Linked DNA regions of Ovis aries. The protein of the gene in region 1 binds, or shares a complex with, the protein of each later gene. Links are inferred from orthologs where the notes say so. Each region holds a gene or a part of one and is shown on either strand. Other genes may lie near its edges. The genes, in order: EDN1, EDNRA and EDNRB.

Region 1 (2,397 bases):
AGTGTGTTTCCTCCAGCCTCCCTGGGGGCCCCTTTTAGCATATCCATGTATCACTTGAGTTGAAAAATCAGTTTTCAAAATCATGTGAGTCATGGTTTTGCATGGAAGTCCCCCACCTCCCAAGAGCTGTTAACTAAGTAGAGAGAAAAGGAAGAAAATATGAAACAGATACCAAAGCAGAAATGTCATAGTTTTGGCCAAAAAGCAAGGCTGCTGTGTCAAGAAGAAACTGAACTGTGTCCAGAGTTGACACGGAATGTCATTGACTTACAGAAAGTGATTTTCTCCCGGGTGGGTCCACACCCTCAGGGCCATTGATGGGCACGTGGTCCTGACTGTTACCACTTTTGACTCTAAATTTCACTACCAAATGCTGTGGCAGGCTCTCCTTCTGTCTTAATGGAAGGCGGTTGCCCCCAGAGAATGCAGCCTTTGGAGAGGATTAATTATGCTCATATCTTCTGTTTCTCTCTTTCCATAATAGGCACGTTGTTCCATATGGACTCGGAAGCCCTTCTAGGTCCAAGCGCTCCTTAAAGGACTTCTTTCCTACAAAGGCGACAGTCCACAGGAAGAGATGCCAGTGTGCTAGCCAGACAGACAAGAAATGTCAGAATTTTTGCCAAGCAGGAAAAGAGCTCAAGTGAGTAGAAACACCTTTGTTTTTGATCAGCTTTTTGGCCTCCTGACCTTCTTCCTCTCGTGATGCTCTCTTCTTGTTTTGAAGAAAGCAACAGAGACACTGAGAACAACCAGGGTTCCTGTTGCTGAAATGTCCTCCCTGTATTTTGGCAGGGACCAAGACTCCATGGAGAAAGCCTGGGACAACCGAAAGAGAGGAAAAGACTGTCCTAAGCTAGGAGAGAAGTGTCTTCAGCAGCAGCTCGTGGTCGGAAGGAAAACAAGAAGGTAAGACTCTTATAAACAGCTGGTCCCCTTCACCTATAAACAGTCTCCAGTCCTTCTTACCTCCGTGGGAAAAAGGCTTACAAGACAATATGAAGGGAAGGGAGGAAAGAGAAATCTCTGTGTTCTCTAAACTTAAAAGAGCCAAAGAATCCTTCTCAAAAGTTTTTTGATGTAATGGAAACTAACACCAAATAATAATAATTCCCAAGTTGGTTCAGAAACAGTGGTTTACATAATTCAGTGTGCTGCCCTTTGGCACACACACCACTCATCCAAACAAAAATCTGTTTAGGGACACCTCTGTCATTTGGTCACATCTAGTTTTTGCATCTCTGAGTCAATATATTTACAGCTTTCCCTGAGAAATTAAACATCATTTCAGGGAAATTTTATTTTTTTTTTAAATCATGTATAATCAACTTCTTCAAAAACATAGCAGTTATTCAAATGGCCAAAGGGAAACTAAAGTCATTAAGTAGGGTTGGTGAGAGTTAGAACATGTCATTTCTCAGGTTTATTTATTTACTTTTTTAATAGGGAAATGCATTCAATGGAGACTCAATTTCATTCTCAACAGCTTTCTTATTTTTTGATCAGTCATGAGCTGGGATCTGGATCAGTAACACCCCAGGGTTGCTCTGAGGGGCTCTGTAGTGATAAACCTTCCACAACCTAAGCATCTTGAAATTTACAAGCTGCGGGGAGGAGTCCTGCTTTCAGATCTGTCCTGTGGTCTATGATTCCCTGTCATGGTCAGAGGCACTTTTTCCTAGAAATCCAGTGGCAAGAAGTTCTAGGATCCAAGTGTTCTGAGCACAGGCCAGGAGGTCATGGACGACTTCTGAGTTGTTTACTACTGTCTGGGGCCAAGCTCAGCGCTTCCCATGTGACCTTGAAGTCTCCGTGTTTATGAACTCAGGCCACTAGTGCTCCTCCAGGCTTCCCTGGTAGCTCAGCTGGTAAAGAATCTGCCTGCCATGCAGGAGACCCGGGTTCGATTCCTGGGTTGGGAAGATCCCCTGGAGAAGGGATAGGCTACCCACTCTGTATTCTTGGGCTTCCCTGGTGGTTCAGCTGGTAAAGAATCCACCTGCAATGTGAGAGATCTGGGTTCAACTCCTGGGTCGGGAAGATCCCCTGGAGAAGGGCATGGCTACCCACTCCACTGTTCTTGCCTGGAGAATCCCCATGGACAGAGGAGCCTGGAGGGCTACAGTCCACAGGGTCGCAAAGAGTCGGACATGACTGAGCACAGCACAGTGCTTCTCCAGACGGCAATTTTATGTAAACCACCATTTCTGAACTGACTTGGAAATTATTATTTTTTTCTATTAGTTTCCATTACATCAACTATTAAATCAATGTTACTGTTCTTCCCACCCAAAGAAAACATTAAGCCTGCAAAAACGATAGTTTTTAATTGCCATAAGACATTTGCTTTGGGTCCTGCCTGTAGGCCTTCTTGTTTCGAATTCCTTTTCCCCTCGA
Region 2 (4,094 bases), on another chromosome or scaffold:
TGACTCATTAGAAAAGAGCCTGATGCCAGAAGTCAGGAGGAGAAGGGGACGACAGAGGACAGATGGTTGGATGGCATCACCGACTCGATGGACATGAGTTTGAGCAAGCTCAGGGAGATGGTAAAGGACAGGGGAGCCTGGTGTGCTGCAGTCCATGGGCTCACAAAGAGTCAAACATGACTGAGTGACTGAACAACAACAACTTCTTTATCCATTCATCTATTGATACATACTTGGGTTGCTTCCAAATTTTGGTGATTGTAAATAATGCACTGGGGTGCATGTATCTTTTTGAATTAGTGTTTTCAGTTTTCTTCAGAGATATACCTAGGAGTGGAATTGCTGGATCATATGGCAGCTCTATTTTTAGTTTTTCAAGAACTCTCCCTACTGTGTTCCACAGTGGCTGCACCAATTTACATGCCCATCAAGAGCATATAAGGGTTTCCTTTTCTAAGGAGTTTTTATTTCTTTTCCTCATCTGCCTCATCTCCTCTCCCATATTCCCATTTAAGATAAAACTGTTGAAACCCACCTTTGGCAGCATCTGCATCCTCCCTGATTGGATTTCGTGAGGAATCATAGGTTTCTCAGAGCCACACACTGGACCCCTCCACAGTCTCTTCAGGAGCTCCTATTTCACCCTGAGCCAGTAGTATATAGCCTTCACGGGACAACATAGACACAAAACGTCCTTGAAACAGTCAGCTGCTGTGCACACTGGCTCTTTGTTGTTGCTGTTCAGTTGCAAAGCTCTGTTGGACTCTGCCACCCATGGACTGCAGCACACCAGGCTTCCCTGTCCTTCACTATCTCTTGGAGTTTGCGCAAATTCATGTCCACTGAATGGGTGATGCAACCTAACCATCTCATCATCTGCCGCCCCCTTCTCCTTTTGCCTTCAATCTTTCCCAGCACTTTAACTTGCTATAAACTTAAGAGGGAGCTTAGAAGCAAGCAAAGGGGCAGGGAACGCAGAGCATAAACCGCTGGTTCCAGACCCTGACTCTCTGCAGCTGCTCCAAGCAGAAAAAATCTGCTTGCACTCACTGGGGAGGGAAAGGTTTCTCAGCAAGCCCTTCCGTAGTTCTGGGTCTTGTTTGTTAAACTACCCTCCTCCTCGACGACCGCCCCCTCATCACCACCACTTTCATTTCAGGAAGGAAATAGTTAAAAAGACTCCAGCCCTTCAGGGCCTGGGAGGGGGCGGCCGCCTAGTGCTTATAGTGGCTGCATCCCTGGAGGGCTGGAAGGCTGGGACTTTCTCGCCGCCCTTGAGTGGACTAGATCTGGGAGCTTTGCGAGGAGAAGTGGAGGACAGACGCGAGGCGCGTTCCTTCGGAGTTTTCTTTTTCTCGCGAACCCTCGCGCGCGCACACAGCCAGCCCTTTGGTCTGGCGATTGCGGACCAGAGGTGGAGAAGCTCCATCCCCCCAAGTGGCTGAAGCCTGGCGGCTCGGGGAGGACCTCCCCAGAGAAGCTGTGCCCAGGAAGTTTTCCGAAGCGGAGGCAACGGTGCAACCGGGGCCGCCGCCGCACCGGATCCCGGGACACTCGCTATTCACCCTCGCCGGTTCGGCTTCAACTCGCCCGGGCGCCGCACACGGACCGCGCAGCCGTCTGAGCCCGCGGAGCTCCACGGTCGGTGCCAACTCTTTACTCTCCGGGTCCCGAGTCGGGTGGGGGAGACGCTGGCGGGCCCCTGCGCAGGGAGGAGAGGTGACCTCCGACCGTTGTCGCCCGGCGCCGGCACCTCCTGCACCGGGGCTGGTATCACCTGCCCGCGGGGGCGCGTGGCTGCGCGGGCGCCTTCCTGGGCGGGTGCGCGCCCGCGAAAGTTTGGGGTTTGGGAAACTGATGCAAAGCCCCTCCGCCTTCCCGGGCGGGCGGCGTTTTCGTCAAAAGAAAACCTGGGTCTCCCTTTTCCAGGCGTGCGAGAACTTTGCGGACCATCACGCCCGTGTCGCTGGCTCCAAAGCCCGCCTGTGAAGTTTGCCCCGCAGCCCGCTGCTCCCGCACGCCCGGGACGTGCCAAGGGTAGCCAAGGGCACCGGGTGTGAGGGGCGGATGTGTTCGGGAAAGATGTTTTTGGAGAACCCCCAGGTCAGCTACTTTGGAAACCTGCCTGTGGGGGTCTGGGCGTTTTGATCTGTGTCCTCCTTTTAAAGGACACTTGTCGCCCTTCACGTGCGGTAAACGAGGGCCGTTCCCACATAATAATCAGCCTCTGTTTACGCCATCCTAATGGCGTTCTGGGTACTTGGCGGCAGAGGAGGTGGGCTGGGAGGCATATTAAAGACAGGCGTTGTCAGTCAAGAGAGTTACTAATTTCTTACTCAGTGAGCAAAACCCACCAAAGTGGGGGGAGGGGGGCGGGGCGGGAAACTTATTTAAAAGTTCCTAGTTTATCTGTTTTTTTTTTTTCTCTTGTAGATTATTTATGTTCCCTCGCCCCCACCCTCTGTTTTGTGTTAACTAATTGAGAAATACCCTGGCAATCATTTCATGTAAATTACCTGCTCTAAACTCATGCCATGTGGGTAAGGTTGGAATTTCCAAATCACGAATTTGATGAACTTTGATCTGGAGAGTCCCCAGATGTGAAAAGGTTTAAGCATCAGGATAGAGTCCTCTTGCTTCATAATAGCTTTTGAACTCCAGCAAATCCTTAGACCCCAAATATGAAGAATGCTTAATCTGTAAACCAGGTTCCTCAGGTCTGAACCTGAGAGGCTTCACTAGAGCTATGACTGATGATGAGTGATGATCTGAAGCCAGCGTGACTTAGATCCATGGAGATGAGCTAAGACTCATCCTTGGAGGAACATGCAGTTCAGAGGGTTTTTTCCCTTTGGTTTTGTGTCTTTCAGCCAATGATGATATGGCAGTCACATGCCTTTGCCAAGTATACCTTAGCTCTGCAGCTTCATGTGTGAACAGACAAGGCTGAGCGAGATGACTTCAGAAATGGTGGTGTCACTGTTGGAGGAGGGAGACAAGTGGTTTTTATGGGAGCCAGCTCACACTATGATAACAACCCACAGTTTGATAAGACTCCTCAACTCTTGCGGTAATCAGCTCACCAAGCGAACTGAAGTGCTGATGTTCAAACAGTAGTGCTGCTTTTGTGAACCACCTAGCCAGGTCTGTTCACAAAATATCCTCCTAGCAGACTATGATGGGCACAGAGCCATTCCATTTCTGAGAAAGGCCTTCTTGTCTCTTACTTTGAAGAAAACTCATTAAGGTTCATTCCCATTGGGAAACTGGAAGGCATTAATCACTTAAATAGCATAAGATATTGAAGAATTTCCTTTTTTCATCTCTGATCTGAAGAGGAGGGTGACGATATGCTTTATTCTTGGAGCGGTGTGGGGTGGAGTCCTGATCACCACTGTGTAACTGAAATAGCGGCGTTTCATAGGTCTATCAATATTTTGTCAGATACTCCAAACTGTAAGCAAGGGAAAAAAGAAAAACAAAACTGCATACTATTTGACTTGGTCAAAAAGTTCATTTTGTACCAGCTTTTTCCATAAGCTGGTACAAAAAACCCAAATGAACTTTTTGGCCAATCCAATACTTGCAATTGTCTAGGCAGAACCATGTGCCCAGTATGCTTGTAGCTTAGAAAAATTGATATTTGAATCATTTAATCAGACTGAATCAAGTCCTATGATTAATTAGACTGAAGGGTTATACTTGGCCTACCACTTCTTGGTCACAAAAACGTAACTTCTTCAAGGCTGTTTCCTCTTGATATTCTCCCTGCCTACCTAGAGCTGTAAAGCTCAAGTCAGATAACAAATAGGTGTAAAATAGATTACCATAGCACGTAAACTTTTTTTGGCCTCGTGGTATAGTTGCCTGACCAGGATTGGAACCCATGCTCCCTGCAGTGAAAGCACAGGGTCTTAACCACTGGACCACCAGGGAAATCCCAAACTAATTCAGGTTCCTGGGGAAAAAATCTCTGGGGAAGGCAGAAGTATACAGTATTGCACCTTACATTTGCTTTAGACCTGTACACCTTGCATAAATCTCATTTCTTCATGTATTAACTATGCCCTGAGCTTTATTAATCACCAAGATAA
Region 3 (3,652 bases), on another chromosome or scaffold:
CCTTGTTGGTTATTCATTTTAAATATAGCTGTGTGTACATGTCCATTTCAAACCTCCTAACTAGCCGGCCTTTCCTCTCATCCTAGAGATTCATCTTTAAAAAGTAATGGCTTACATGTGCAATCTAGAAAAATGGTACAGATGAGCCTACTTGCAGGGCAGGAATAGAGACACAGACATAGAGAAAGGGTGTATGGACACCAAGCAGGGGAGAGGAGGGTAGGATGAACTGGGAGATGAGATTTGACCTAAATACACTACCATGTGTAAATGGATAGTGGGGACCTGCAGTGTGACACAGGGAGGTCAGCTCTGTGATGACCTAGCTGAGTGGGATGGGCGGTGATGAGAGGGAGGTCCAAGAGGGGGGGATCTATGTACACATACAGCTGATTCACTTCACTGCACAGCAGAAACTAACATAGCACTGCAAAGCAATTATACTCCAATAAAAGACGGTTTCTCTAAAAAAGTGATGGCTCTTTTTACATTCCTTTAGATTATGTAGGATACCTCCAGGTAGATAGCACAGAACATATTAAAAATATCAGACTAAGAAAAAGCAATTATGCTCTAGTAGATGATACTTTCAGTTTATTGTCACTACAATAATTTTCATATTCATAATTGGAATTGTAATCATGAGTCAGCAAATATTTCTATTTCCTTACCTGTTTTAAGTGATCATTTAAAGCAATTTGCATACCACTCTTCTTTCTCAACATTTCACAAGTCATCAGGGTATAAAACAATGCAGTGATGGCCAATGGCAGGCAGAAATAGAAACTAAATAGCCACCAGTCTTTAGCTGTCTTGTAAAACTAAGGGGAAGAAAGGATGTTATAGTTAATATTCCTCTGTAAGAAACTCTTACATATCAAATATTTAAAAATGCTCATCAAGGAATAATCTCCTAAAGTAGATCCATTTTATAAATACTATGTAGAATCTTTCAGTAGAATCTTTACACCACTATGCAGAATTTTTTGTCTGCTGAACAAAAAATTAAATTAAGTGAAACAAACTTTTCCTAAAAGGTGTTTCAATTCTCTAAGGCAGTGTGCTATAATTATATATAAAAATGTAAGCAATTGGGCAAATTTTTAAATACTTGATAACTCAAATATTTTTGTCTTCACAGAAGTGAAAGGAATTCCTTACCACATCTGGATGTGTAAAGATATTTTAGTGTTTTGGGGGAACTTCTCACTTTTTAACAAGTTTGTTTCTGGGGAAAGCAGGTAGGAAGAGGTCTATAGTAATCATTTAGCTCAGGGATGTATACATCTAAACTATCAACTAAAAATCAAAATTGCTTATAAAATGACTCCTCTCTTACTTGTTCTTTTTTCCTTTTCCTTTTAAAGATTGTTGTTCCAGATATGTCTCTGTTGGAACAGAAGTTATGGAATCTATGCAGTACTTTGGGCTTCCCAGGTAGTGCTTATGGTAAGGAACCCGCCTGAGACAAGAGACATAAGTGATGTGGGTTCGATCCCTGGGTCGGAACAATCCCCTGGAGGAGAGCACAGCAACCCACTCCAGTATTCTTGCCTGGATAATTCCATGGACAGAGGTGCCTGGTGGAGTAAGATCCATGGGGTCGCAAAGATTGGGACATGACTGTGACTTAGCGCACACCCATGCAGTACTTTTTCCATTGTAACTAATAAGAAACAAGGAAACAGCATTTTCATTTTCAGTTTCCCATTAAAGCCCCTCTTTAGTCTTTTGTTTATCATGATCTATACACATATACATAAAGTCTTATATAAACTTATGTGTAAAGTAGAAAATAATTATTTGTGACATTTGGACCCACTCCTTTTGCGTTACTCCTCTTCACCCTTTCTGTTGGGAAGAGCCTTTTTCACTTACGGTCTATTTTCTGATGACCAGCATTGCTATTTTCCCCCATTTCCTAATTAAACACTCTTAAATAAATTGACAAGATGGAGTTCTTTGCAATGGTAGTTTTCCCTTTAGAGACAGGACAGGCTTGTCATTCATACCAAGATTCATGGAGTCACGTAGATTTCTACCAGTCTATCCATACCAGGGTGACTTCCACTTGATCATCCTTTTAACCACACACTGCCTCCAATGACTGCTGTGTTGCTTAATGCAAAATATGTTGTAGCTGCCAGTTCTTATGTGAATTTGAGTAGGAAAGCTATAAATTCTAATCGACTCTCTTATGTCAACTTGGCTTATCTGTATTCCTGAGAACCAGGGGATTCTTGGAGAAGTAATGACCTAGCTTCTTGCAGCATGGGTCATTAGTCCTGCTGTTAACCCTGAGGTCCTGGGACCTACACTTTTAATTTATGCCAAGGACAGTCATAAATCAATAATTTCCCAAGAAGAGGAGATTGGGGGAAAATAGCTAAACATTTATGAGGCAAGAGCAGAAAAGGGAAAGAAAAGTAAAATTTACCTGCATAAATGCTGTTTTCTGAGTGGGATGGAGCAAGCAGATTCTCAGATTATTTCCTATGTGATCACTCGTAATTATATCAAAACCCACGGCCTCAGGGACAGCCAGAACCACGGAGACCACCCAAATTAAAACAATTTCTACTGCTGTCCATTTTGGAACCCCGATTCCTTTAATCCGACTCCAAGAAGCAACAGCTCGATATCTGAAGAACAAAACAGAATCAATTGCCAAGCTGGCAGAGCCTGGTTTTTATTGAATTACAGTTTACTTTCTAAGTAACGTAGCAACCACTAGGATTTTGGTCAGGATATATGTTGCTTAGATACATGCTCTTACCTGTCAATACTCAGAGCACATAGACTCAGCACAGTGATGCCCACGGAGGCCTTCTGAATGAAAGGCACCAGCTTACACATCTCAACCCCAAAGGGCCAGTCCTTGGCGAGCAACTGCATTGAGGAGACACAAAGCTCTGTTAGGGAGATGTTCACAGGGTGCTCTTGAACTGTATTTATTACTTAGTGGAGGTGAATGAGCTTATGGAGTAAAATAACAAATTCCAGTTCTTTTTCTCATGCACTCCTCTGAAAACCACCTGCATTTGTTAGATATCTGGAATAAGAGAGTGGGCTGGCAATCATGAAAGGGCAGCCAATTCAGGAGAATTAGCTACACATGAACAGGAGCTTAGGGTCAAGGTCTCTTCTATTGCAGGGCCAATTGCTTAAGTTCTCCTTACAAAAATGGGACGCTGCTGTACAGCACCAGGAGCTCAGATTAGTCTTCTGTGATGATCTAGAGGGCTGGCATGGGGGGGGGGGGCAGTGGGAGGGAGGCTCAAGAGAGAGGATATATGTATACATATTACTGATTTACTTCATTGCACAGCAGACACTAACACAACATTGTAAAACAATTATATTCCAGTTTTTTTTTTTTAAATTTAAATTGAGCCTGTAGTGCTGAAAATGCCTCTCATATTCTTATGAAGTCTCCAATGCTCAGTTAACAGCCAAATCAAAATAAAGATTAGTCAAAAATAGGTGAAAAGTGTTTCTTAGTTAGACTAGATGCCTCTTTGGGCTTCCCTGGTAGCTCAGCTGGTAAAGAATCTGCCTGCAATGCAGGAGACCTGGGTTCTATCCCTGGGTTGGAAAGATCCCCTGGAGAAGAGAGTGGCAACCCACTCCAGTATTCTTGCCTGGAGAATCC

The links.
Region 2: the proteins of EDN1 (region 1) and EDNRA are in contact, whole or in part, in a cryo-EM structure (PDB 8HCQ), measured with the Homo sapiens proteins. The link is inferred for Ovis aries from reciprocal best matches to the Homo sapiens genes EDN1 and EDNRA. Residues at the interface, in NP_001403492.1 of Homo sapiens: Cys53, Ser54, Leu58, Asp60, Lys61, Glu62, Cys63, Val64, Tyr65, Phe66, Cys67, His68, Leu69, Asp70, Ile71, Ile72, Trp73; in NP_001948.1 of Homo sapiens: Tyr68, Gln72, Thr73, Lys74, Tyr129, Asp133, Ile136, Asn137, Lys140, Leu141, Gly144, Arg145, Trp146, Gln165, Lys166, Val169, Glu220, Phe224, Val227, Phe229, Tyr231, His236, Lys237, Thr238, Cys239, Met240, Leu241, Asn242, Gln252, Lys255.
Region 3: the proteins of EDN1 (region 1) and EDNRB are in contact, whole or in part, in a cryo-EM structure (PDB 8XWP), measured with the Homo sapiens proteins. The link is inferred for Ovis aries from reciprocal best matches to the Homo sapiens genes EDN1 and EDNRB. Residues at the interface, in NP_001403492.1 of Homo sapiens: Cys53, Ser54, Cys55, Ser56, Ser57, Leu58, Glu62, Cys63, Val64, Tyr65, Phe66, Cys67, His68, Leu69, Asp70, Ile71, Ile72, Trp73; in NP_000106.1 of Homo sapiens: Pro88, Pro89, Ile94, Glu95, Ile157, Asn158, Lys161, Glu165, Asp166, Trp167, Val177, Pro178, Gln181, Lys182, Val185, Phe240, Ile243, Met245, Tyr247, Leu252, Ile254, Leu256, Leu257, His258, Pro259, Lys270, Lys273, Leu277, Trp336, Leu339.

The regions. Positions count from the first base shown.
Region 1 is NC_056073.1:43,365,890-43,368,286, reverse strand, and holds part of EDN1 (endothelin-1), read left to right. Parts: intron 1-484; coding exon 485-643; intron 644-795; coding exon 796-909; intron 910-2,397. UniProt on the Homo sapiens protein: Endothelins are endothelium-derived vasoconstrictor peptides. Probable ligand for G-protein coupled receptors EDNRA and EDNRB which activates PTK2B, BCAR1, BCAR3 and, GTPases RAP1 and RHOA cascade in glomerular mesangial cells.
Region 2 is NC_056070.1:10,804,113-10,808,206, reverse strand, and holds the start of EDNRA (endothelin-1 receptor), read left to right. Parts: upstream 1-1,285; 5' UTR 1,286-1,641; intron 1,642-2,870; 5' UTR 2,871-3,144; intron 3,145-4,094. UniProt on the Homo sapiens protein: Receptor for endothelin-1. Mediates its action by association with G proteins that activate a phosphatidylinositol-calcium second messenger system. The rank order of binding affinities for ET-A is: ET1 > ET2 >> ET3.
Region 3 is NC_056063.1:53,628,110-53,631,761, forward strand, and holds part of EDNRB (endothelin receptor type B), read right to left. Parts: intron 2,890-3,652; coding exon 2,777-2,889; intron 2,643-2,776; coding exon 2,438-2,642; intron 822-2,437; coding exon 672-821; intron 1-671. UniProt on the Homo sapiens protein: Non-specific receptor for endothelin 1, 2, and 3. Mediates its action by association with G proteins that activate a phosphatidylinositol-calcium second messenger system.